Linked DNA regions of Oryzias latipes. The protein of the gene in region 2 interacts with the protein of the main gene of each other region in a pairwise test. Links are inferred from orthologs where the notes say so. Each region holds a gene or a part of one and is shown on either strand. Other genes may lie near its edges.

What was found. The genes of interacting proteins can lie anywhere in the genome.
Region 1: the proteins of banp (region 2) and rab3ip interact in binary tests that used the Homo sapiens proteins (3 or more experiments, as listed by UniProt). The two-hybrid records come from large-scale screens. The link is inferred for Oryzias latipes from reciprocal best matches to the Homo sapiens genes BANP and RAB3IP.
Region 3: the proteins of banp (region 2) and foxm1 interact in binary tests that used the Homo sapiens proteins (3 or more experiments, as listed by UniProt). The link is inferred for Oryzias latipes from reciprocal best matches to the Homo sapiens genes BANP and FOXM1.
Region 4: the proteins of banp (region 2) and leng1 interact in binary tests that used the Homo sapiens proteins (3 or more experiments, as listed by UniProt). The two-hybrid records come from large-scale screens. The link is inferred for Oryzias latipes from reciprocal best matches to the Homo sapiens genes BANP and LENG1.
Region 5: the proteins of banp (region 2) and map2k1 interact in binary tests that used the Homo sapiens proteins (3 or more experiments, as listed by UniProt). The two-hybrid records come from large-scale screens. The link is inferred for Oryzias latipes from reciprocal best matches to the Homo sapiens genes BANP and MAP2K1.

Annotation. Positions count from the first base shown.
Region 1 is NC_019881.2:22,273,283-22,277,346, reverse strand, and holds the start of rab3ip (rab-3A-interacting protein), read right to left. Parts: upstream 2,801-4,064; 5' UTR 2,667-2,800; intron 2,513-2,666; exon of another isoform or gene 2,488-2,512; intron 1,935-2,487; exon of another isoform or gene 1,914-1,934; intron 1-1,913. UniProt on the Homo sapiens protein: Guanine nucleotide exchange factor (GEF) which may activate RAB8A and RAB8B. Promotes the exchange of GDP to GTP, converting inactive GDP-bound Rab proteins into their active GTP-bound form.
Region 2 is NC_019864.2:22,009,017-22,015,321, reverse strand, and holds the start of banp (protein BANP), read left to right. Parts: upstream 1-1,945; 5' UTR 1,946-2,426; intron 2,427-5,549; 5' UTR 5,550-5,555; coding exon 5,556-5,628; intron 5,629-5,858; coding exon 5,859-5,971; intron 5,972-6,074; coding exon 6,075-6,274; intron 6,275-6,305. UniProt on the Homo sapiens protein: Controls V(D)J recombination during T-cell development by repressing T-cell receptor (TCR) beta enhancer function. Binds to scaffold/matrix attachment region beta (S/MARbeta), an ATC-rich DNA sequence located upstream of the TCR beta enhancer.
Region 3 is NC_019881.2:18,848,296-18,852,375, reverse strand, and holds the start of foxm1 (forkhead box protein M1), read right to left. Parts: upstream 2,801-4,080; coding exon 2,359-2,800; intron 2,265-2,358; coding exon 2,116-2,264; intron 883-2,115; coding exon 691-882; intron 603-690; coding exon 474-602; intron 389-473; coding exon of another isoform or gene 329-388; intron 4-328; coding exon 1-3. Other genes in the region: rhno1 (RAD9, HUS1, RAD1-interacting nuclear orphan protein 1), read left to right, coding at 4,004-4,080. UniProt on the Homo sapiens protein: Transcription factor regulating the expression of cell cycle genes essential for DNA replication and mitosis. Plays a role in the control of cell proliferation. Also plays a role in DNA break repair, participating in the DNA damage checkpoint response.
Region 4 is NC_019874.2:19,390,365-19,394,617, reverse strand, and holds the start of leng1 (leukocyte receptor cluster member 1), read left to right. Parts: upstream 1-1,453; 5' UTR 1,454-1,792; coding exon 1,793-1,924; intron 1,925-2,264; coding exon 2,265-2,441; intron 2,442-3,518; coding exon 3,519-3,805; intron 3,806-3,906; coding exon 3,907-4,126; 3' UTR 4,127-4,253. Other genes in the region: tmc4 (transmembrane channel-like protein 4), read left to right, coding at 1-80, 241-396, 518-596, 717-770.
Region 5 is NC_019864.2:16,494,862-16,498,940, reverse strand, and holds the start of map2k1 (dual specificity mitogen-activated protein kinase kinase 1), read left to right. Parts: upstream 1-1,279; coding exon 1,280-1,362; intron 1,363-4,079. UniProt on the Homo sapiens protein: Dual specificity protein kinase which acts as an essential component of the MAP kinase signal transduction pathway.

The DNA.
Region 1 (4,064 bases), on a different chromosome or scaffold from region 2:
TGAAACTCCAGCTGCCCCCCACACCCACACACACGTCTCCATGGAGACATGCCCTGGTGAGCCGTGGTAACCCGACACTGAAGGATGCTGATTACAGATCCAGTTCCTCCAGGCTGGCCGAGGCGCGCTGCCAGCGTTTACAGGATTAAAACGCAGCGGTGGAAGAACCAAACCACAACAATGGAAACAAGCGCAGGATCCGGGACATCCACGCAACCGCACAGCTGGAGCGCCACAAGAATAAATCCTCCACCCATCGATGAAATCCAAAGGGAAAACTCGTCCTAAAATGCTTCACATCCTCAGTTTTTTTGGAATTAAAGCTCTGAAGGATTTAACCCAATTAAGACTGAAAAAATCCAATCTGCAGCTCAGCCGCTGATGATGGATTTACAGTCGGGCACATTTCTGGGCAGCACTATCAAATCAAAGTGAAGACAAATGATGAGAACACTAACCAAATTCTGGAGGAATCTCATTTTTTCTTACTACTAAAAGAAAATAGATTACAAATGCAGCACAGTTTTTCAGTCACATGACCTTTGAGGGTAAAAAAAAAAACCTGTTTTCCAAGTTTAAACTCTAAAAAGTCTTTTAAACTATTTTTAAATCATTCCCAGTGATCTTTTCATTATGATTATGCCGTTTTTGCCCAAATAATAAGAACCGCCATAAATCAAAAAACAATATTAAGCTTAATTTTCTCAACATTTCCTCCATCATACGAAGCTGAGGTTGGCTTCCGTTTCACGAGGGGCACTAAAGGAACATTCCACTGCATTTTTCACACCAAGATCACCTAGAACCGATAAAATCTGGATAAAATTATGATTTAGATACTAAAGAACACATTAAACACAGTTTCTGATTTGTGAAAATGTAAAATTGGATTATTTTATCGCATTTTACGCACTGAGTCCACCTTATCTCCTCATAAAGTAAACGTGACCAAACTAACTTGTAAGATAACTTCTCTCTTTTTGGACCCTGATATTTTAATGTTGTCTCTTCCCATTTCAGGTTCACCCATCTCTCTTACTCTGCTTTTCATATGTCTTCTCTCCTCCCTCGATCGTATCGCTCCCGTCCTCATTTTGAGAAATCAAATAAAGGGTTCAACTTCCTGCTGGGAAAGTTTCACGAATCAGAAACTGTGTTTAATGTGTTCTTTAGTATCTAAATAATGTTTTAATCCAGGTTTGATCAGTACAGGTTGTGTGGTTTTTGAACAGGTGGACTCAGTGCGAAAAATGCGACAAAAATAATACAATTTCACATTTTCACAAATCAGAAACTGTGTTTAATGTGTTCGTTAACTAATAGAGGTGCTAAATAAATTCATCATCCTCTCCCTCCTTCTCACTCATGGTGCTGAAAGAATTTAACATAACAGTATAAATAACTCGGCAAAACACAGTAAAACAGCTACAACTAAACATATTTAGACAAAAACCTACACTTGTACCCAAATCCGTCCAGACAGGCAAAGGGAATGGTATCCCACAATTCCTTGCGGAAGTAGTTACACATACTAAATTGAATTAATTTGAAGTAAAAGAACTGTCTGATAACTGCGTGTTATATTTAAGCTGAATTAACAACAAAAATGATTTATCTTAACTGAAGCAAATAGTTAAGTTAGATTAATGTAAAAAAGTTTATCTTTCCAACATCCATACGTGGTCTTATCACCAATCAGTCTTATCAAGCTTCTTCATCCACTAAATCATCTTCAAATGGACACGCCATGCTGCTTCACCTCTCTGAAAACAAACTAACCTTCAACTAAACCTGCTCTAGACCAGGTTATGTTCAGTGCATGAGTTGCTATGGCAACTTGACCTACCCTAAAACATACCTCGATTTCTGGAACCTAAAGCTGAGGTTATCCGCTTCCTTAGCCTCAAACTTACCGTGGTAACTAGCATAACCTGCTTTCTGGAATACCCCTCTGTTCAGGAGCCCCCGGGGTTAGCTTCGAGTTAGCATCCGCTAGCAAGGATCACGACAGTGAGAAAGCGGCGTGCACGCGTATTTAACCGCACACGCCTATCCACAGCGACCGTGCGATGCCATCGAGCACCAACGCATGAAACATGCATGACAGCGGCGCCTGGCGGCTTGAGTTTCACTGAAGAAACGGGCTCGTTAGCATTCAGATTAGCCGAGCTAGCTAACCTAAGCTAACCCCTTTTAATAGTGTTTCAGAGAGAAATTTCAATGTTCCTTCAACATCAAACCATGAACAGGAACCCCGAACAGCTGTTTGACACAACAACGCCAACAATTCAATGTATATATTTGAATAAAAAGCCTTTAACTATGACGATGAAAATATTAGCGATGATGAGGGAAGCCCTACTTCCATTATCGGTCACTATTCGTAGCCTGGCAACAGACACAGCGTTACGAATTCATCAAGAGCAAAGGTATGCCAGGTAAATAAATTAGAATAATCAACATGATAACAAATATATTGAAACACACCAGTTAAGTTACTCCAAGTGTTCTCCTGATAGCAAAGGAAACAGAAAAGGAGACTCTGTTGTCAGATAATGGGTGCGTAAAGCAAATCCATGCAGCAGTAAGCGACAACCGAATTTATGACGTCTACAAATAAATGAATAAATACATATGCGTCAATAATTTTTAATATGTGGACTCACCGAACCTCCCCGTGAACAGCAACCGGACCGGTCGGTAAGCCTTCCGGTAAACGAGTCGAAACAAACAGGAGCACCGGAGAGGCTGCTGACGCAGGGACCGACGGGGGTTGCGTTCACGGAACTCTAGGAAATTAGAGCTACCATCAACACTCTGCTTTCTGACACGGCGCTGAACACCAGCTTTTACTATCACACATCCACAGAATGCAGAAAAACGGTGGTCACTAAACGCACCATCTTGAGAACAGATGACAACCGCAACAAACTTTCGCCAAATTAAACTTATAGTGATGCAAATCACAGTAAGACAAAATAAATAATTTGAATAGAGCAAAATAAAAATATAGGTTTTAAGTGTCCTTTAAAAAAATAGTTAAATTTGGTTTGATTTAGGCCTCAATTGTATCAGAACTTATTCTACGACTTTTCATATGTTTGTCATGTATAAATTGTAGTAATTGTTGGACATATACAAATTTTAATTACAAATTCAAGCCACGTTCAGTTTTTGTTATTTTTTCGTAAAAATTCTGTATATTTGTTAATTATTTATCTATTACAATTCTTCTTTCCCTTTCGGCTTTTCCCATCAAGGGTCGCATGGTAAACCTGGCAATGTTTTACGCCGGATGCCCTTCCAGACGCAACCTTCTCAAAGCAACCGGGCTTGGGACCGGCACAGAAGTAGAGAAAGGAACAGGGAGCAGTCCGGATTCGAACCCTGGTTTCACGGACGGAAGGCGCCGCAAAACCAGCACGAGCTAAACCGGCTCCCTGTTATTTATCTATTACAATAGAATTCGTTTTTTTGGAAAACATCTGACACATTTATGTTGACGGTGTGACGTGTTGTTTTTGGTTGTTTATAGGTAAAAAACACCTGAACATCTGACAATATAATGCTACCGCCAGCAGAGGGCGCCAGAAACAAATAAATGATCACCATTGTTTAGTTTTTTCCTGAGTTCATCATTGAGCCTGAACTCTTTCAGCTGATCGATTGTTTTAATTTGGAAGTGATTATTAACTTTTACTTTAAAGCATCAAAATAACACAACACTGGAATTATACTTGAGCTTTAGAGTTTTTCACCTAATCTTAAACCATATGTATGGACCTTCCGTGTATTGTGATTAAACTTAAACGTAAATTTATTTTAATTTTCTCTTTTTTATTTTCAATTACTTTAGGATTTTACAATAGCCATAAAAACCCTTTAAACTTTTGTGAGTCTTTAGGGAGGAACACTCAGTTATTGATCGTTCCATGCAGGGAATAATTTCACCCTGGATGATCATTTTTTATTTGGACTGTCAGTGTTTATGAACAGCAGCAAATTTTCAAGAAGAATGATAAAGCTCCAATTTTCCACTATTTGTGAAGCGTCAAGTTGAAACT
Region 2 (6,305 bases):
ACATAACATTATTAGACAGAGAAGTTTAAGGTGGAGATCACATCACGGCTCAGCACTCAGCCCCTTCATGTTTGCAATGGTGATGGACAGGCTGACAGATGATGTTAGACAGGAATCACCATGGACAGTGGTGTTTGCAGACGATATTGTGATTTTTAGCGAGAGCAGCAAAGAGGCGGAGGAGAAGCTAGATAGATGGAGGTTTGCCCTGGAAAGGAGAGGATGGAAGGTTAGCCACAGAAAGACGGAGTACCTGTGCATAAATGAGAGGGACCCAAGAGAAAGAGTGAGGTTATAGGAAGAAGAGATAAAGAAGGAGATGGAGCATTTTAAGCATCCAGAGTCAACAGTACAGAGTAATGGACAGTGTGGAAAAGAAGTGAAGAAGCGAGTGCAGCCAGGTTGGAATGGGTGGGAAAAAGTACCAGGTGTAATGTGTGATAGTATGAGGTTCAATTGGACCAAAGACATAGACAGTGGGCACAAAAACATGTTTTTGGCACAAATGGAACCTCATATTTTTCTGGCAACGTGCGTTTGCAGGAATATCAATAAAATGTATTTAAAGAAAACGTGTTTGTCATGGTTAACGCTAGCGCCGGCTTTAATAAACCTTTTTTTTGTTTCGTTCCGTGGTAGTACAGGAAACAATTAACCGACCGTACAAAGGACTTTTCTGACGACGAAAGACAAATGCAAAGTTTTAAACATAACGCATGAACCAAAGGTCAATGAACTCGTTCAGTAGACATAGACAAGGGACCAAAGACATAGACAGTGGACACAAAAACATATTTTTGGCACAAATGGAACCTCATATGATAGAAGAGTTTCAGCTCAAATCAAAGGAAAGTGGCACTGAGGAAAAGACAGGAAAAGGGCTGGAGGTTGCAGAAATGAAGATGCTGAGGTTTTTCTTGGGAGTGAACAGGATGGATTAGATAAGGAATGAGTACATCTGAGGGACAGCACATGTTAAAGGTTTTAGAGATCAAGTCGAGAGACCTAACTGAGATGGTTTGGACCATAGTGTCCAGAAGAGAGGCAGTGAGTAAGTATATTGATGGAAGGATGATGAGTCTAGAGCTGCCAGGCAAGAGGTGGATGCAGTGAACGAAAACGTGACAGTTTTTGGTGTTAGAGTAGAGGATGCAGAAGACAGGGTTAGAGGGAGGAAGGTGATTTGCTGTGGCGACCCCTGAAGGGAAAAGTCCAAAAGGAAAGAAAATGATTAGAACATTATGCCATATGATCACGTGTCTTTGCAAAATTCAAAGGGGGGTTTCAATACATTGAAGTGAAGAAGCAATAGCTTGATGTCTTGATCCTGTTTTGGTGCCTTCCCGTGTGTTGCCTGCTGTGATGGCATTTGGTCGTTTTTATGTTATAGTAAAATAAACCTTCTGTGCCTCAATCCAAATGGTATTTCCCAATATCAATATAATCAATTTATTTCATTTTGAAAAAAGTTTATGATGGTATATTGATTCAGTTACCAAATTGCCTCAGACAGATTGATCTGGTTGGATTGTAGAAAAATAAATGGATTCATCAATTCAACTATTTACAAATACGGCCTCCTTCACTTGATTACAATTTGGCTAATGCAGGACTGAAGGGCTTCATACAACACCTAAATAAATTAATAAATAAAATACATAAACAAAACATGGATAAAGAACAAACGTGTATTAACACACGTTGAATCACAAACATGGCAACAAGAGTGTCTCTCTAACAATTAAATTAAAAAAATGTTTTTAAATGACTGGTTTTGCAGATCTTTAATATATAAAGATCTGCATATATATATATATAATATTTGTATAATTTCTTTTTAAATAATTTGTGTGTTGTCTTAAATGTTGATGGTGTGTCATTTTCTCTATTTTCCCTCACTGTTCAAATCAGAACACAGAGTATCTGAAACTATCTCGAAATTGTTCAGCTGATAACAGTTTTATACTTTGTTCTTTAAATAGTTTCCCCCTGCAGTTGTTACACGAGATATTGCTGGTAGCGTTGATTTTTCTGCTCAAATCGTTGGCTTAAAAAATAACGAAAGACATCCATGTGCAGGATCCTTTGTTTATTTTTTAGTTTGTGAGGAAGTAATCCTAAAAACAAACTTAAATTTGATAGTTCAGTAAACATCCGCTCATATAAAGGAGCATTTCTTTAATCATAAGATTTTAAGGCGGTCGGTAGTTTTGAGCAAAGTGTCAAAGTGTTTTTCTAAAAGAAAACTTTACACCCTGACGCTGATCTCATATCTAATGAAGAGTCGGCACGTTCCCCCTACAGGCTGTCTCGGCGGTCGCAGCCAGTCGGCGGAGGAGCACAGGAAGGCACGAGCTCATCTCTCGCGAGGAACGACGCCGTTATCGGAATCTCTAGAAACAACACGAGAATTCGTCATTCACACGGTAATATAAGCCCACTCTTACACCGTGCAATTGACGTGTGTGAGCAATGGTCTACGAATCCAAGTCAAAATCATCTTTCATTTTATTTTAATTTTTTACGTTTTAGCAAATACTTCGTTGCGTTTCAGCGGCCTGTAGGCCTAACTAGCATGCTAACGACTAAGCTAGCTGAAATAGCGCTCTGTTTGCGTTGCTTAGCTCTCAAATCGGATTGTGCTAACTTTAGCCATTGCCAGTACATCACTGCTCTGTGCTAATCGAAACTTGTTATAATGCACAGCTGTGATCTCATGCAGTTGTAATAAACTGTACTTTTCCTGAAAAACAATAATCAACATCTATCAGGACCTATGTTCCTTCAATTGTTTAGTTCATTAATTTAAATCTCCTCCCATTTACTGATACTGATAGCATACAGTTAAATAACTGCATCGTTACTAGCAAGGCAAAGATGAAATATATTTAGTGGAATGAAAGGTAGAAGGCTTGAACAAAGTCTGGCTTTATCATTATTAAGATAAACCACCAGTTTACAAATAGTAAGGCATTTCTGGTCGTTTTTTTTAAACTATCACATCTTAATTGCTTTGAAACAAATTCATACATTGACATGTGTATGAATGTGAAAGTATTTCTCAAAGTGCATCAACTAATGTCATAAAATTGCCAGTCTGATCTACTTTTGCCCCAATCCATATACAAAAAAAGTACATTTGATTAAATTATACATCCAAATTAGTATTTGCTAAAAGTGACGTAAACAAATCTATTTGTATTTTGATTTAATTAAAAAATTAAATGGGGAGACTTGAGTTTAACTGTTATGCCATTTAGCCACAGCTTGTAAAGAAAAATACAGCAATGCCAAGCACACATGCTTTGTTTAGAAGGTGGTCATTAGCCTTAGTGATAATTGTTTTACATAAACATAAAATTGTGTTTTAATTAAATTTTTACTTTAAAATAACCATTTATTGGAAAAACAAACAATCTTCCAATACTGTCATTTACATTGGACTTTAATTCATATACACTGTTTTAAAATTAGTTGAATCAGGAAAATAAAATACTTTTAACTACTCTCGCCTTTGCAGGCTTTTAATTATGACACAGATTTATGGTATTGGGGAAACATTTTAGATATAAAGGACTTGGGAAAACAAAACAAAACAAGAATTATAAGTATTTTGACCATAAATAATGCGTAAATAGGTTAAAAGAAACGAGTACCACAATAAAAATGTTCCTAAACGTGAAAACACTTCAGCAAATATTAACTATTGTATTTATTTATGAAATTTGGGGAAGTTTAAATGTCCACTCATTTTTTGGACTTATCATTTAAAAACAGTAATTTTTATCAAGAACCGTTTCCAAAACTATGTTTCATGACTATATGACACATGAAAAGCAGATTTTGAATTTTAGCTGCAGTTTAGTCACATGAAGCAGAAAGTGTGCCATTCTATGTTTAACTTGCTAGTGATGAACATGTAATAAATCCTCAAACTTAAATGCTTTAAAAATGTCATAGAACTCATTATAATTGCATACTCAACACATGCATTGACTTCAAAGCATTTATGTACAACTGTTGTCAAACACAATTTCATAACTGGTATTAAGCTAATAGGATTTGCTTGAAAACCAGTTAAATTTGATTTGTTTCCTCAATTATGGAGTTTGCAATATGTGTGGAAAAAGGCCCAATATTAAATGCATTGGCAATAATCTCTGCAAGTATTTGATTTGGCCCAATAAGGTAATCAAGCTTTTTTCAGGCTGTGTAGTTATTAGTCAAAAGCGCTAAGGCTCAAAATCATACAATAAAGACCTTGTCCAGTTTGGTGTGGATGCACAAAGCCACTCTTGATGCTCTGGAATGTACAGGTTTCAATCGGTGATACTTTTTCTTAAAGTTCAGTCCTACAGGAAACAAAAACAGTGGCTTACAAGGGTCGCTTCCTGTTATCCTTTCCAACAAGCCTGTTTGAAATGGTATGGTTGCCAGGAGCACACATTCCCTCTATGAAAGGAATTTTTGCAAGTTACAATTGTGGAAAGCTCTGAAGATTTCTTTAACAAAAGACAAATAATGCCCCACTTTTTGAAAAATTAAACACAAGAATTTATCGTTGTGTAAATGAGACCAGAGTCCACTTCAATGAATGTAGTCTTAAAGTTCTGTTTATTTTTTAAAGTCAAATGCAAAGATCTGTTTGTTAACTGCATTTTGTTTTAAACAGCAAAAACGGAGTCTTAAGGAAGTGAAAAAGACCCTTCTTTCCTGAAAAATGTGTCTTATTTTCTGTCTTTCCATCCATTTTCTTAACCTACTCTATCTTTTTTGGGGTCTCGGGGCTCCCGGAGCCTAAACTGGGTCATTTTGGGCAAGGGTAGGGTACACCCTGCAGGGCCACACAATTACACACACACCGAGTCGCACCTTGGGATGTGACCGATGAAGCGCGTCTATGGATGAAGGTCGATTGCCTGGAGAAAATCCACACATGCACAGGGAAAACATGCAAACTCTTCACAGAAAGGACCCAGTTTGGATTTGAACCAGAGCCTTCTCATTGAGAGGTGAAGGCAGCAACCTATTCTTTCTTGTCTTGCAAGAAAAAGTTTTTCTAGTAGCAAATGAAACTTTGTTTAAGAAAGCATGCCCAAGTGACATCTAAAGAACATTTTTGAAATTTTAAGTAGTTTTGATGAACTTTATAGTGGACTGTGGTCTGAGGCACAGCAGCGCATTTAGAATAGATTAAAGAAAAAAAGAAGTTGTTCAAGTCAGTCAATGAACGGCAGTCAATGAACTGCAGTTAAATTGCCAAACCCCGCCCCCTAATAAAAAGCAAAACTAAAAAACAAGTGGAAGTTTCTCTAAAATGACAGGGGAGGTAATGTTCATGCACACAAGTCATAAAAACATTTTCTTCTGAATGTACATTTATAACTTCTTAATAATCATTTTGGTTTTTATAAAAAAATTACCATTTTCTTCTTCATGTGTTTCTTGGTTTTAACATATATAAACATCTTGAGGTAAAAGATGACTGTTATTTTATGTCGCGTAAAGGCGCGTGGCAGCTCATTTTTCCTCCCCATGTCTCTTTTCAGTTATGAATGATGTCTGAACAAGAGTTAGATGACATCGTGCAAATAACAGTGGAGGACTTTACACACCAAGACCGCACTGGTGAGTTTTGCCAAAGGAGTTTAAAAAAATTAACCATAAGAAACATATTTTTTCTCTATCTTTTATAGACCTTTTATTTGTTGGATATCCGCACTAATAATTAATGGACATTTTCATTTAAGACTTTAAGTCCAGCTATTTTAACTACTCTTTACCTAAGGCAAGAAAATATATTCTATGTTGAGTGTGTCTTTTTTTTTTAAGTATAATTTTATATTTCAATGTGTCAGAAATGCTTGACAATCATGAGGACGACGAAGAAAGGCCACAGAAGAAAAAGAGAAAATTGAGCCAGAGCCAGGACAACAACAACAACAACAATCAAGATTTATCTTTTATTAAGGTACCAGCTGTTCACAAAATGCTTTCCAAAATCTTCCACATCTCTTTCAAAGTTGGGTGCTATTTTTGAGTGAACTATTATGTCGTATTATTTTTGTTTCCAGAATCTTTTGGTTTCGTTTACTGGATCAATCAGCCAACGTCTGGATGGAATTGAATCAAAGCTACAGGCCTTGGATGCCACATGCAAAGCTCTTGGACGCAAACTTGACAGCATGTCTCCTTGTTCCAAGAGTCCAATCCAGGTTCCTATGGTTGCAGGATCACCACAGGGTGCTACTCAGACTTGGAACAAAGTGCGATGGTATGGCTCACATATTTTAACCATTTAGTCA
Region 3 (4,080 bases), on a different chromosome or scaffold from region 2:
AGACTGGAGAGAAACAAAAAAAAATGTAGATTCGAATTGATTCATAAAGTTTAACTTTCAGACGACACATTCTGGATGAAGAGAATCCACTGCTTCCTTTTCATTTTCTGCCCCTGCTGTACTGAGTGGACAATGGCAAAGAAACAACACAGCTTTCAAAGCAAACCTGCAAGAATAAATAAACTTACGATGCTCAAATGTCCACATAAAGCTAACTTCAAAGACATTAAAGGTTATTAAAGGTAAACAGGTTGAAGAAACACTTAAGCTTCTGTCCCTTTCAGCTTCCTGCTTGCAAAGTTCTGTTAGACTGAAGATGCCGTCTTACTTGGTTGGGAAATAAAAGCATTGGAACAGGAACTGGAGCAGTCACTGGATCACATCCAGGCTTTAAAAGGTGAAAAACACAGCAAAACATTAAAGGAAACTGTTAGACGTGTCTGCAAACCACTGAAAAACGCCGCCGTGCTCACCTTGTATACCTGATCTAGAGTGAGGCATCGGTTGGCCTCAGGCCGGATGGTCCAGAAGGAAACTTTCCCATCGGGCGCCGTCTCGCGAACAAACATGTCGTGCAGAGAAAGGTTGTGGCGGATTGAATTCTGCAAATGGGAATTTCAGAACAGATATAAACGCTTGGATCAAAAAAATGGGAGCCTTGAATAAACAAAAGTCTGGATTTTTTTTTACCTTCCATCCGGGTTTGGCCACCTGTCTGTAATACGGAAAATGGTCCTCGATCCAAGTGTAGATCTCTTTCAGGGTCATCCTCCGGTTTTTCCTGCTGTTGATGGCGAACTGGATCATGGCCATGTAGGAATACGGCGGCCTCCCTGACAGGGGCTGCTGGCAAGGTTTCGTTTCTGGAGGTACGCTGGCTGCCTATGATCAAAAGAAAAAACGCGAATGAGGGTGAATTTCAGCCGTGAAAATGACTGCAAGAACACGGAAGACAAACTCGAGAAATTCTTTTCTGGAAGATGTGGCTTCAGGTTGAAACACATACAGACAGTATGTAACGGGAACGCTGTCCCCTCCCTCAGACGAGAGAACTTGTGGCCAGCTTAGAATATTTTCTACGTCACAAATGAGCTCTTTTTTCAGTCTGCTCCTGATTCACAACAATTTGAATGAGGATATACTCAGAAATGCAATTGTAAGCTTAATTTTCCCTATATATGTCCTCTAGCTTCAGAAAATTGAGACAATAACATGGTAAAAACTATTTTTTTTATCGGAGTGGGTCTTTAAGCAGTCTTCGGGTTTCTTTCTGTTCGGGTACTGCGGAGCTGAACAGCAGCTTCAAAACGGTCAAAAATATTAAAAAGGAAATTATTACACCTCACCATTTACTGATCTAAAGATGCAAAAATTGACGGTTAATTTAGCATTAACAAAAAAAAACACAACTATAGAATTTCCCCTAAGATGGAAAAGGACAAATCACAAAAGGAAGTGACTATTTGCATGAAATTAGAGTGTCAGGGTTAAAATATGTGCATGAATTTCCATCAGATTTTGAATGTAAACACATTCAAAAAAGATCAGCCATCAGAGAATATATAGCAATATCTACAGTGAATAAAGCAAATCCTGTTGATATGCATCTATATCATTAATACATACATACAAATATATGGGTAAAATCAAAGCCTTTGTAATCTATACATAGTAATAAACATCATAATTGAGCTACTTAAGTCACAAATATACAAAGTTAGCATCTATTTATGGAGCATTGCAATAAATGTTCTTGTAAATTATGTCATGCAACACTATTTAAATCACCATTCAAGCATATATAATTCATCAAAGTTTCAGTTCAGATGGTGGGTAATAGTATCTATTTTTCTCTCACAAAAAACTTACGTTTTGTCAAAATCTTCAGCAAAGAGCAGCTTTAGAATAAAATGAAAACGTGTGACTAAACCTCACAAATGGTGAAAAATCACAGCATGGTGACATTTTCCTCAGGCAGACGGGTTACTGTTCAATTTTAGGAAACGTGCCACAACATTGCCTCAGACTTGTGTTCCTGTCACACAAGAATCTGTTTGCACACTGGCAGCAAAAGTCACAACCGTGTGGAAGGAAAAAAAAAGACAAACAGCTGACCTGAGCAGTCTGAGACACGGGAGCCTGGTTCTCCTTGCCTTGTATTTGCTTTGCAGGCTCTGACTCTAGAGCACATGTGTTCATTTTGCCCAGCCACTGGATGTTGGTGAGGCTGTCATCCAAAGGGCCGCTATTCCCATCTTTACTCACTGAAAAAAAATTATATATATATATTGAAGCAGGTATTTCAGTTAAATGTAGCATTTCTGACATAAAATTTTAAACTCTGTGCAAATTCCTTACAGGGTTTAATGCCAGTCACATCAAGGGATGTGTGAGTGCTTTCTTTTGTTGCTGGTTCTTGAGATGGGATTTGTGTGGAAACAGCATCTCCTCCAGAAGTAGCAGTCTCACAGAAAGATCCGGCTTGATCCTGATTGCCATTGTCACTCAGGAGAATAAACTTGCTCGGACCCTGAACTCCGCTGTCTTTGCCTTTAGCGGCGAGGACACTAATTACACTCTGAACGTCTGTAGCTTTGGGAATGACCACAACCTGAGTGTCTGACAGGGATGGGTGGCCTATAAAGCGGACCCCGTCTGGGAAGCACGAACTGTCGCTGGAATTTGACGGCTCTTTGGAGCCACCGGACTGCCTGGATGGGTCTGCTGGGGTGGGTTCCTTTTGTTGAAAAGGTAACTTGCGCCTTTTGAGGATCAGGGGTCTCCTTGGGCTCCGTCTCATGGTTCAAATCATCCAAAGGGCCTTAGGTGTTCAATGGAAATCTGTGGGGAGGGGGAAAAGGTCTTGAGCTACAGTTATGGCTCAAAAAGTACTCAGAAGTTAAACACCTTATCAATACATTACGTTACAACGTTTAAATACTGACTTTAACGATAACCCCGAACTAGTGAGCCTGAAAACAACATACCTGCTAATAGAATACGAAGTAATCGGTCAAAAATGATGTTTCAATCCTATGATATCGTCTTCAAACTTAAAGAAACCCGATTATTGCTGTCTGTTTGCTGCAAAAGTCCCAACAGTCCCTCGCTCGAAAGTGAAGATTTTATTCGGTTCCCTTGGCGACATGCCAGTCGTTATAATTTTCAGTTGATGATAGGTTTAATTTCAATAACGTCTATCTAGTGGATATTCAGTGCAACATATATTTACATGTTAACACAATGCAATCAATAAAACAAAAAATAAATTCAAAAAATAACATGCGCCTAGCCAATGTCCCGATTAGCGTATAGTTTCCTTTATTTACAGCTAGGCTAAGCTAGCTATGCTAAAGCTGTTTGACGATGGAGGAAACAAGTGGAAAAATGAAGCCAGACCTTCACATTACTGAATTACTGCAGCGTTTCATTCAATTCCAGGCTTGGTTCGGCTTTCAATTCCACTTGTCGGATCAAAGAAAACATTTAAAATATTCACAAAACCGACGTATTTAGTAGTAATTAGATACAAAAAGTCAATCCATAAACAGTTTTGAATTTTGGCGCTGTGGGCGCTGCCCCGACTGTCACTTTGATCACATGGTAACAATGGACCAATAGTAAACGCAGAAAAAAACACTGGGCGGCTCAATAGGTGGCGCTGTGGGCCGCAGCTCGAGATGGCCAGCCGCTAACCCGAAGAAGACAAAGAAAAAATCCGGGAAATTAAAAGTAACAACAACACGGACAAGCTAAGATAAAAAGGTCTGAATGAACCGAAAAATAAGGGAACGTTTTTATTCCGTATTCCGTACATGGACACATAATCACGGAAAAAGCACAATATGGTAAGTAAAGAACGCGTTTCAAAAGTAAACACTTGAATGCGAATATGTAAACAGCCTCGATCTACGACTAAAGCTATGTGTATTGTTAACAAGATTACTCGATCGGATTTGTCTCTTGTTTGTTTTGAACAGATGCTTAAGATTGATTTAAATTGATGCCCCGGAAAGCGGCAAAGACAGACAAGCCTGCACTGCAATTCCTGGAGCGACCTGTGAGTGGCGCCAGACTTCA
Region 4 (4,253 bases), on a different chromosome or scaffold from region 2:
ACCTCAGCCTTCTTTTTCCTGGTGGTACTGCTCTTAGGCTGGATGCTGGCCTCAGTTGTCATGATTTACAGCATTGCTGTGTGAGTGTGGATGTTTCTTGGTAACATAAATAATACAATTATTTTTCCTACTGGTCAGAAAGTCAAAATTTGGCCAATTTGTCGCAATACAAAAAAGGCGATGGCTTTGTAGAGATTTATGAAATTATGTCTGAGTGACGTTCCGTGTCTGTCCATACAGGATCCATCCTTCTCGGGGATGTGGGCCTTTCCGGTTCTCTGACAACATGTGGTTGATTATACCGACATCTTTCTACAACCTCTCTGCAGCCACACAAGAGTTTCTTTTCTTCATTGGCTCACAGGCGTTTACAATCCCCCTGTTTTCATTATCGGGGTAAATCCATTTTCATTTTACATGAAAATCATTGAACTGTCTTGCACTGTGCAGATATAGATGATATTTTTCTTTGAATGCCAGTTGATTCTTTACCAGCTGACTTGTTTCTCCGTCATAGTTTGGTGATGTGCTACGTCATAGCTTTGTTCTCCATCTATGGGAAAAGTGTTGGACTGCTAAGACTGCAGCTCAAACGGGTAAGTTGATGGTATCTAAAGCAGTATACTAAGAATTGGCCATGAGTTAACAAAGATTTTTTTCAATATTTCCTTTTTTACTTTAACTAATACAGGGTCTGGTCTTTTTTGTTTTTACAGGAGAGCCGGGATAAGCAGTTCTTAGTCAAGCAGATTGAGGAACTAAGTCGGTAGATGACCAAGATACCATTTGATAGATACATATATATACTGTATCTACCACTACAAGACTAAACAGCCTCTGGACAATGTTTAGTCTCTGCAGTACAGTAACATGAGACGATGTCATAAAGAAAGGATGTTTATTAAAAAGAAAAAAAAAGCTTCATATTATATATACATAGTGAAATTACACCAGATTCTTTCAAAATAAAATGTTAAAAATGTTGCACATTAAACATCACTGTTCTTTAAGCACTTTAAAAGTGATCATTTAAACAGGTGTTTTGATCATTTTTGGATATAGACTTTGCAAAGAAATGCATGTAAAAAAATTGAACCTCTAATACTGTTTTAAAAAAACAAGACAGTTGGACAGTGTTTTTGTTAAGACGAGAGCAACCAAAAATAATTGTTTATTTTTGACCCTTTTGAGACTACGGTATGTATTCAAACTTTTTATATTCTTTTCTTTAAATGTTGTGATTTATTTGTATTTTTTTAATGAGAAGTCCTTCGTTTGCTGTTGTTTTTTTTTTTTTTTATTGCTTTTTAAAGTTTAGTCTTGCTCGCTTATGACCATTACATTTATTTCTTTTGAATAAACCAGTTGGCGCTCGCTCCAGCTCCATCTAACGATTCTTCTTTGTAATTGCTTCAAGAGTTGTAACTTTTTTTGTTTACTTCCTGTTTGGGTCTACTACTTCCGGTGGACCACAGCAAACCTGGAATAGATGAACTCTCCAAAAAGTCGGACAGATTTGTTTGTTGTTAGACCTTAGGATATTAAAAAAAATAATACTGTGCTTTTAACGAGCCAGGTTTGCCGTCATGAATGCTAACTTAATGTAGAAAAAATGTAAGCTAATGTTTTAAAATCTAGACAATTGCGCAGATTTTTTGCTAATTTCTGCTTTACTAATCATATCAGACTCAGTCACCTGGCTGATTCGCGTTCCATATTGTTGTAGATCAAAGGCTCGGGTCTGTTCTTCCTCTAAATTTTGAGTTAGCTAACTGCTAACAGTAACACCATCATGAATATCCTTCCGAAGAAAAGCTGGCATGTCCGCAATAAAGACAATGTAGCGCGCGTGCGAAGGGACGAAGCCCAGGCTGCAGAAGAGGAGCGCGAGGCTAAACGCCGCGTGGAGCGCGCGGAGCAAGAAGTATGTTCAGTTTTACCGTTCGTTTTTTGTGTTTACATCTGTCTGTGTTTCGTGCTGGCAGAGTATACGTTAACAGATCACGTGACAGTTTAGCTGGTTCTGAGCTGAAAATGAGTTGGAAACCTCTGCAACTGAGTAGATTATATGTATTTTTTTCCTTTCCTTTTGGGGGGTTGTTATTCACAAATCATATACAAAATTGAGGTTTGAACACTATCATTAAGAAAGTGTGTTGTTCCATCGCTAATATGGAGCTGATGTTTATTTTTTATTGTGTTGATAATCTGAAATAGATTCAAACTTCATAACATGCAAAAATTGTCATGGTTTGTTTCCACAGGCGCGAACAGAATATCTGAGAAGAAAGGCCCGAGCTGGTCTCCAATCAGTGGAAAGCACAGGAGATGATGGGAGTCAAAGCGGAGGACATGTGGAGCATCTCAATCTTTTTCCTTTGGAGGAGTCTTCAGATAAGAAGGGGAATGAAGAGTATCTCAAAGAGAAGAAGGAGGAAACGGTGATTGTGCTGCTACTTCTGTTTATATTCTGAAAATTACAGGTTTATCTGAGTAAACACTCACTAAAAATAATTTAGGAAGTCCATTTTATGGATTTTTTCTTTTCATTTGTTGTAGGAGAGGAATGGTGTACAAATCCCAGGAAATTGATTGTCTGATCCAGCACAGATTAACATCTATTTTTGTTTGTGTGCATAAAATACTATAACTATTGTGTTTTTCATGTTTGAAACTCTCATTCTAATTCTGCATTCAAAGAATGAACACTTTTAACAACCAGACTGCATTTGCTTGACAGTTAGTTTTCCCTTGTTTATCACGGGAGTTATCTTCTAAAAATAACCCACATCAGGTGAAATCCACAAAGTAGAATTCGAGATGTTTTAAGGCTGTAAAACGGAACTTTGTTTCATGTTTAAACTCTTAAAGTTCAAACATTTGTAGTAAAATAAGTCATGTATTATAGAATAAAACAAAAAAATCTGTTTGTGGTTGAAGATTTAGATATTTGGCAAGCTAAACGCATTCTGTACAGGAGACACCGCTTGGAGGAAAGTACTTGACAAAGTCTACTACCAATCAGGATGCAGAACAAATTGAGCTGTTAAAAGAAATCAATGAAAAGAAATATGAAAAAAATCAGCGAGAGCGTGAAAGATATAGCGAGGGACCACTGTACTCAAAAGAAAAAAAACAGGTTGCTCATCTACAAGTTGCAAATGAGTAGCACTCTGCAGCTTTTTGTTGATTTTTAAATCAGTAATGCTAATTTAAAAAGGTAAACATCCACTTTTCCCCACCTAATACACTTGGTTTGCTGTGGTTTCTTATTCTACAGTGGCAAAAACGTGCAGCTGGATCTCATCAGACTCTGTCAGGATTTTTATTTTACCAGGAAGTTCTGATTCTACTTTTATGCAACAATGTTCAGTCATCTATTAGAGAAGGAAAAATGACACAAAGAACAATTTGCATGAAAAGGCAATGGAGTTTATTACAGTTTTTTTTATTCTCCAATACAATTATTTGAAATGGAATATTTTAAATATTGATCATAGCTACTCTGGTTTGTCCAGGAGAAGCAAGAGCGAGCCATCGGCCTGCTTGTTTCTTTAGGCCCCCAACCAGGCACTGAGGTGACTCCATGGTACATGCAAAGCAGCGCAGAAAAAGAAGAAGAAGAATCGGAAAAGAGGAAGGGCATAATTGAAGAGGAAAAGGCGAAGAAAGACCGCAGGCTGAAGGAAAGTTTGGATCCTTTGAAAGATATGAAGAAAGCATTGGGGGAAAGTGAAAGGAGGCACCACAAGAGCAAGAAAAAGGAAAGAGGAGACAAGGGAGAAAAGAGGAGCAGTGGGGAAAGGTAAGAAAGACTTTGGTTGCTTGAATGTCCTTCTAATGATGTTGATTACATAATAACACTGTTTTTTTATGGTGTTTTCTGTTTTTTTTTTGCCTTTTCAGCTCCATGGAAAGATTGCGTGCTGAACGCTTACAAAGGGAAGCTGAAGAAAGGAGAAGAGCCCAGGCTTTGCTTGAGCAGAGGAGTGGGAAAAGGAAGGATGCAACGCGAGAAATGGACGACAGGGACCGGCCTTACAACAACGCTTACTTCCCAGAAATTGCCCGAAAACGACAGAGGCGAGACAGAGAGAGCTGGAGAGATGAGATTCTCAAATCTTGAGTTTCATTATTCTGAACATTTTACAATCAGATGGTTAGGATTCCCTATGACTTTTTTTTTTTCATTTGTCCTGTTCTGTCCATAAAAGGAAAGTCTTGCAGGAACTAGAGGTCATGTCCAACAGCAG
Region 5 (4,079 bases), about 5.5 Mb from region 2:
CCACCTTTGCATAACAGTAGCTGGGTTAGGCTCTGCCAGCCCCTGACCCCAACAGGGATTCAATGGAATCAAAAAAATGGATGGATGGATTTTCACTAACATTTCTGTTATTTCCTCTGGCAGCTGTACCTTAAAGAAGGCATCTACAAGAGCAAAGGTTTGTTCTCTCTTGAAAATGACTTGCAGGTGTTTTATTTAGAGTAGAGTCCAACTGCTTGCCAGGATTTATCTAACGGATATTTAAAAAATGTGCAGGAAGTTGAAACTCCAAATCCTTACCTTGAGTGAATCATCAGTCGAATAACTTTTTCAATGGTCCACTTCTAGACAGCATCACGAATCCAAATGTTTTGATAAAAGAATAATAACTGAAAAACATTAAAATATTAAAGAAATGTGTTTTACATACATTTTTTTTAAAAACAACAACACTGAATTTATTGAATGAGCTACGTTGTTACCCACTTACTTTCAAGAAGGAACAAATGAGGGTCTTATAATTGTTTTTTTAATTAGCTGACAAAAGATGGCAAAAGACACAAAAATCCTGGAGTGATGGCACAAAACAACTCCCTGCCTACAGAGTGGTGTCAATGAAAAAAATGACAAAGAAATACTATTTTATTCTGTTGTACTTGTATTGTCGTTCTTCTTGCAAAAGTTTTGTTGTTGTTTAACTTAAATTGTTAACATTTTGTGTGAGGTGTGTTTTTTTACTTGCATTAACAGTAAAATGATAATGATCATTTTAACAATCGCTTCATCTTGCCTCTTAAAAAAAAGCTGTTCAGTCTTTCTCTGCTATCTAACTTGATGTTGACGGAATGGTCCATTGCCACACAGGGACAGGGGAGGACAAAACACTTTCACACGAGCAGTCTTATGCCATTTCAGTAATTTGGGCTTTTTATGACAGATTTAAACTATTGAGGAAATTATTTTAGACCATGTTTGTAAATGCCCCCCACACACACATGTGCAACAAGTCCGCCCCTGTACAATACACGAACTTCCCTCTGCTGCACAGGACTGCGATGCCAGCAGTCACCGGCAGAGGGCGCACTGCAATCAGGGCCTGACATGGTGCCCGGAAGACCAAGGTGTAAACATTTTTGTGACGTTCAGCTCACGTCCACCCGTTAAGCGAAGCATCAGCTGCGCTGGGTCTGCAGGTCGTGACAGCACTGCTCCGTTTTCGTTCCACTGGTTCGTCTGGCCGCCTTGTCCCTCCGTCCTCACGGCTTTCATTCCACAAAAAGGCCGATTCCTGAGAAAAAACATGCAGAAGAGAAGGAAGCCAGAACCGATCCAGCTGAACCCGATTCCCGACGGAAACACACTGAACGGAACCGGAGCCTCCGAGTGAGTGTTGGCGATCAGCTGTTTGTCACATACGAAATGTTACATAATTATGTTTACCACAGGAATTTAGAGCTTTTGGTGTGACAATAATCTGAGACACTGTCTGCACCGACTGTGGGATTATTTATTTATTTCACAGTTAAAACTGATTAGAAAGATAGGTTCAAAAAGTACTACTAACACAAGAACCTCTATTAGAACAGTACTAAGAAGACGAGCAGTGAATCCAAAGATACAATAGCGTCAAATATTTGTAAAAATGTTTCAAATAAACAAAAATTGCAGTGTTTTTTTTTTAAATTTAGGGGATCTGCTTAGAGAATCAGAGAAATCAAATCTCTGTCACAGATTAGTGTTAATACAGCTCTCCTCACTGTGACTGATCTAATCATCACTGTGAAATAAAGTGGCTCTCCAGCTCTCTTCAGCTGATTTCTGAGGGGAGGCACTGTTTAGTGATATGCTTGTGTGGGTTGGAGGTAAAGAGAAAAAAACCAACATGATAATGGAGAAATAAACCTGTTGTGACACCTTGTTTAGTGTAAATCTGTGGAAACAATTCTTTGTCATTCCACCAATAAGCTGGATCCCATTACATAACATGGTCTTCACTATGAAGCCTGTTTGTGCAGGCAGGATGCTTTCTGGTTTCTTTATTAGATGCAGCCTCTGAAAGTGATCTGTAGCCTTTGCAAATGAGCACATGAAGGAAATCTAAATCAAGGATTGGGGATATTTTTTTTTAAACTGCTGAGAGTATGTGGTAATACTGCTGTTTAATGTAATGTGAGGATGCTAACCTGCAAACAGGTGTTGCTTTGTTCTTGTTGTTTTTTAAGCAGGTTTTTTGGGGTACATTCTGACAGTTATCTGAAACAGTCTAAAAAGCACTTTCTATATTCATATAGAAAAAAAAAGGTCCATTAAATTACACAGATTTTACTTTCCTAGCTCCATGTGAAACTCAACACTGTATGGCTCCATAACAGACTATAATGTGAGTGCTTGATGGCAGTCATCTAGTTTGGTATGTATTCTCCAGATCAATATTAACTGTAGAAAGCTCTTCTTCACATTAGCTCCTCCAATCCTGGCCCTTAGTAACATGTGATCCAAAATGTTGTTGTTCACCTTTCGGCATATCCCTTCAGAGGTCGCCTCAGTGAATCAGCTTTTACCGATTTACTGAAGGGACATGTGTTTTTGGCAGTGATTTTTACGTCGGATGTCCTGTATTTTTGCTGACTGGGGACCGGCACAGGGAAGACCCAGACTTGGGGGGGGCCCCCCTTGGGTCTTGCTCAAGGACCAACACTGGATGAAGCCTGGTTTCCCATGCGCCAGTCCTACACTCAGCTAACTGAGCCATCCAGCTGCTTGACATGTGATCCAAAATGTATTTTTTAGGTTCCGACATGAACTTTTAACAACATTGACTGACGTATGTCAAAACAGGAAATCCACTATTTTGCAAAAAAACATTTTGTGTGATGAAAAGAATGAGTCAAGTAACCATAAAGGTTAGTTATATGTATATGTCTAGCATTTCTAAGCATTGGGTAGTTTTCTATTGTCAGCATAATTTGACAAAAGTACGTTTTACTGTGTAAGCCTCATTCTCCTGCCTCCCTATGTTGTTTTGAACACACCTGTGCGTACAAATGTATCTCCTTAACCCTGTGGGTAGAAAGGGAATCAAAGATATAACAAGACAAAACAATATTTCATTAACTAATCTGAAACTCTCCTCTTGCTGCATAGAAGCCTACTCTTTTTTTTTTTAACAGATCTGAGTTCCTTCATTTAAGTTTCTTAATATTCATCATTTTTGTCATAAACTGTTTTCAAATCCACTGTTTTTGCTGACATTTGTCTGCAAGGCTCGGTGCAGAGCTGCAGAACGGGTTTCTTTCGTACCTTTATCTCCCATTAGATGTCCTTGAATATGACGCGAATGGATACAAGAAAGGCCGGCTACGTGCGCACACCCCCTGCACCTCAAGTGGTGCTGCCCCTGTGGTTGTTGCACCCACATATATTGTGTTGAGTGTGTTTCATGCTAGTTCTTTTCTCATCTCCTCCACCTCCAGCTCTTGTTGACAAAACACCCACGCCGCCCACATCTACATGTAGCTCGTTTCCATGGATATGCAGCCCTACTGACAAAAATAAAAGCACTTAAACCCTGTCTTTGCTGCATGACGGAGCATTAGAGGAGAGCTCAATGCCCAGCTTTGAGTAGTTATCAGTGAGTTGTGGTTCGACATGGACGTAAAATTCATAGCTGTGATGAAGCTGAAGGAGACCTCTACAGCAGGAGATCAGTCAATGCTCCTATGATATGTAGAAATCATACTTCAGGGCTGCGCAAAACTGCTATAGTACCGAAATGATCGGAATTCGTTTTTAATACAATGTAATTTGATTTATTTCAATTATTTTAATTCCAATTCCCATTTCAAACCCAGCTGTGTTTGGTTATGAAAAACTATTTCCACAAAACATTTCATTTAAAGTAGGTGAATATTAAAATGTCATTAATCAAACTAGACATTCTTATGGTAAAAAGTAACAGAAAAGGTTTGAAGACTGAAGGGAAAAAAAAGAAATAAGCAAAAGGGGATGAATGGATTTTGCTCTGTTAAAGGAAAGCTCTATTAATTTAATAGATTTTTTGAAACCCAAGAACATGTTACATTGCAAAACCTCTTCTCAAG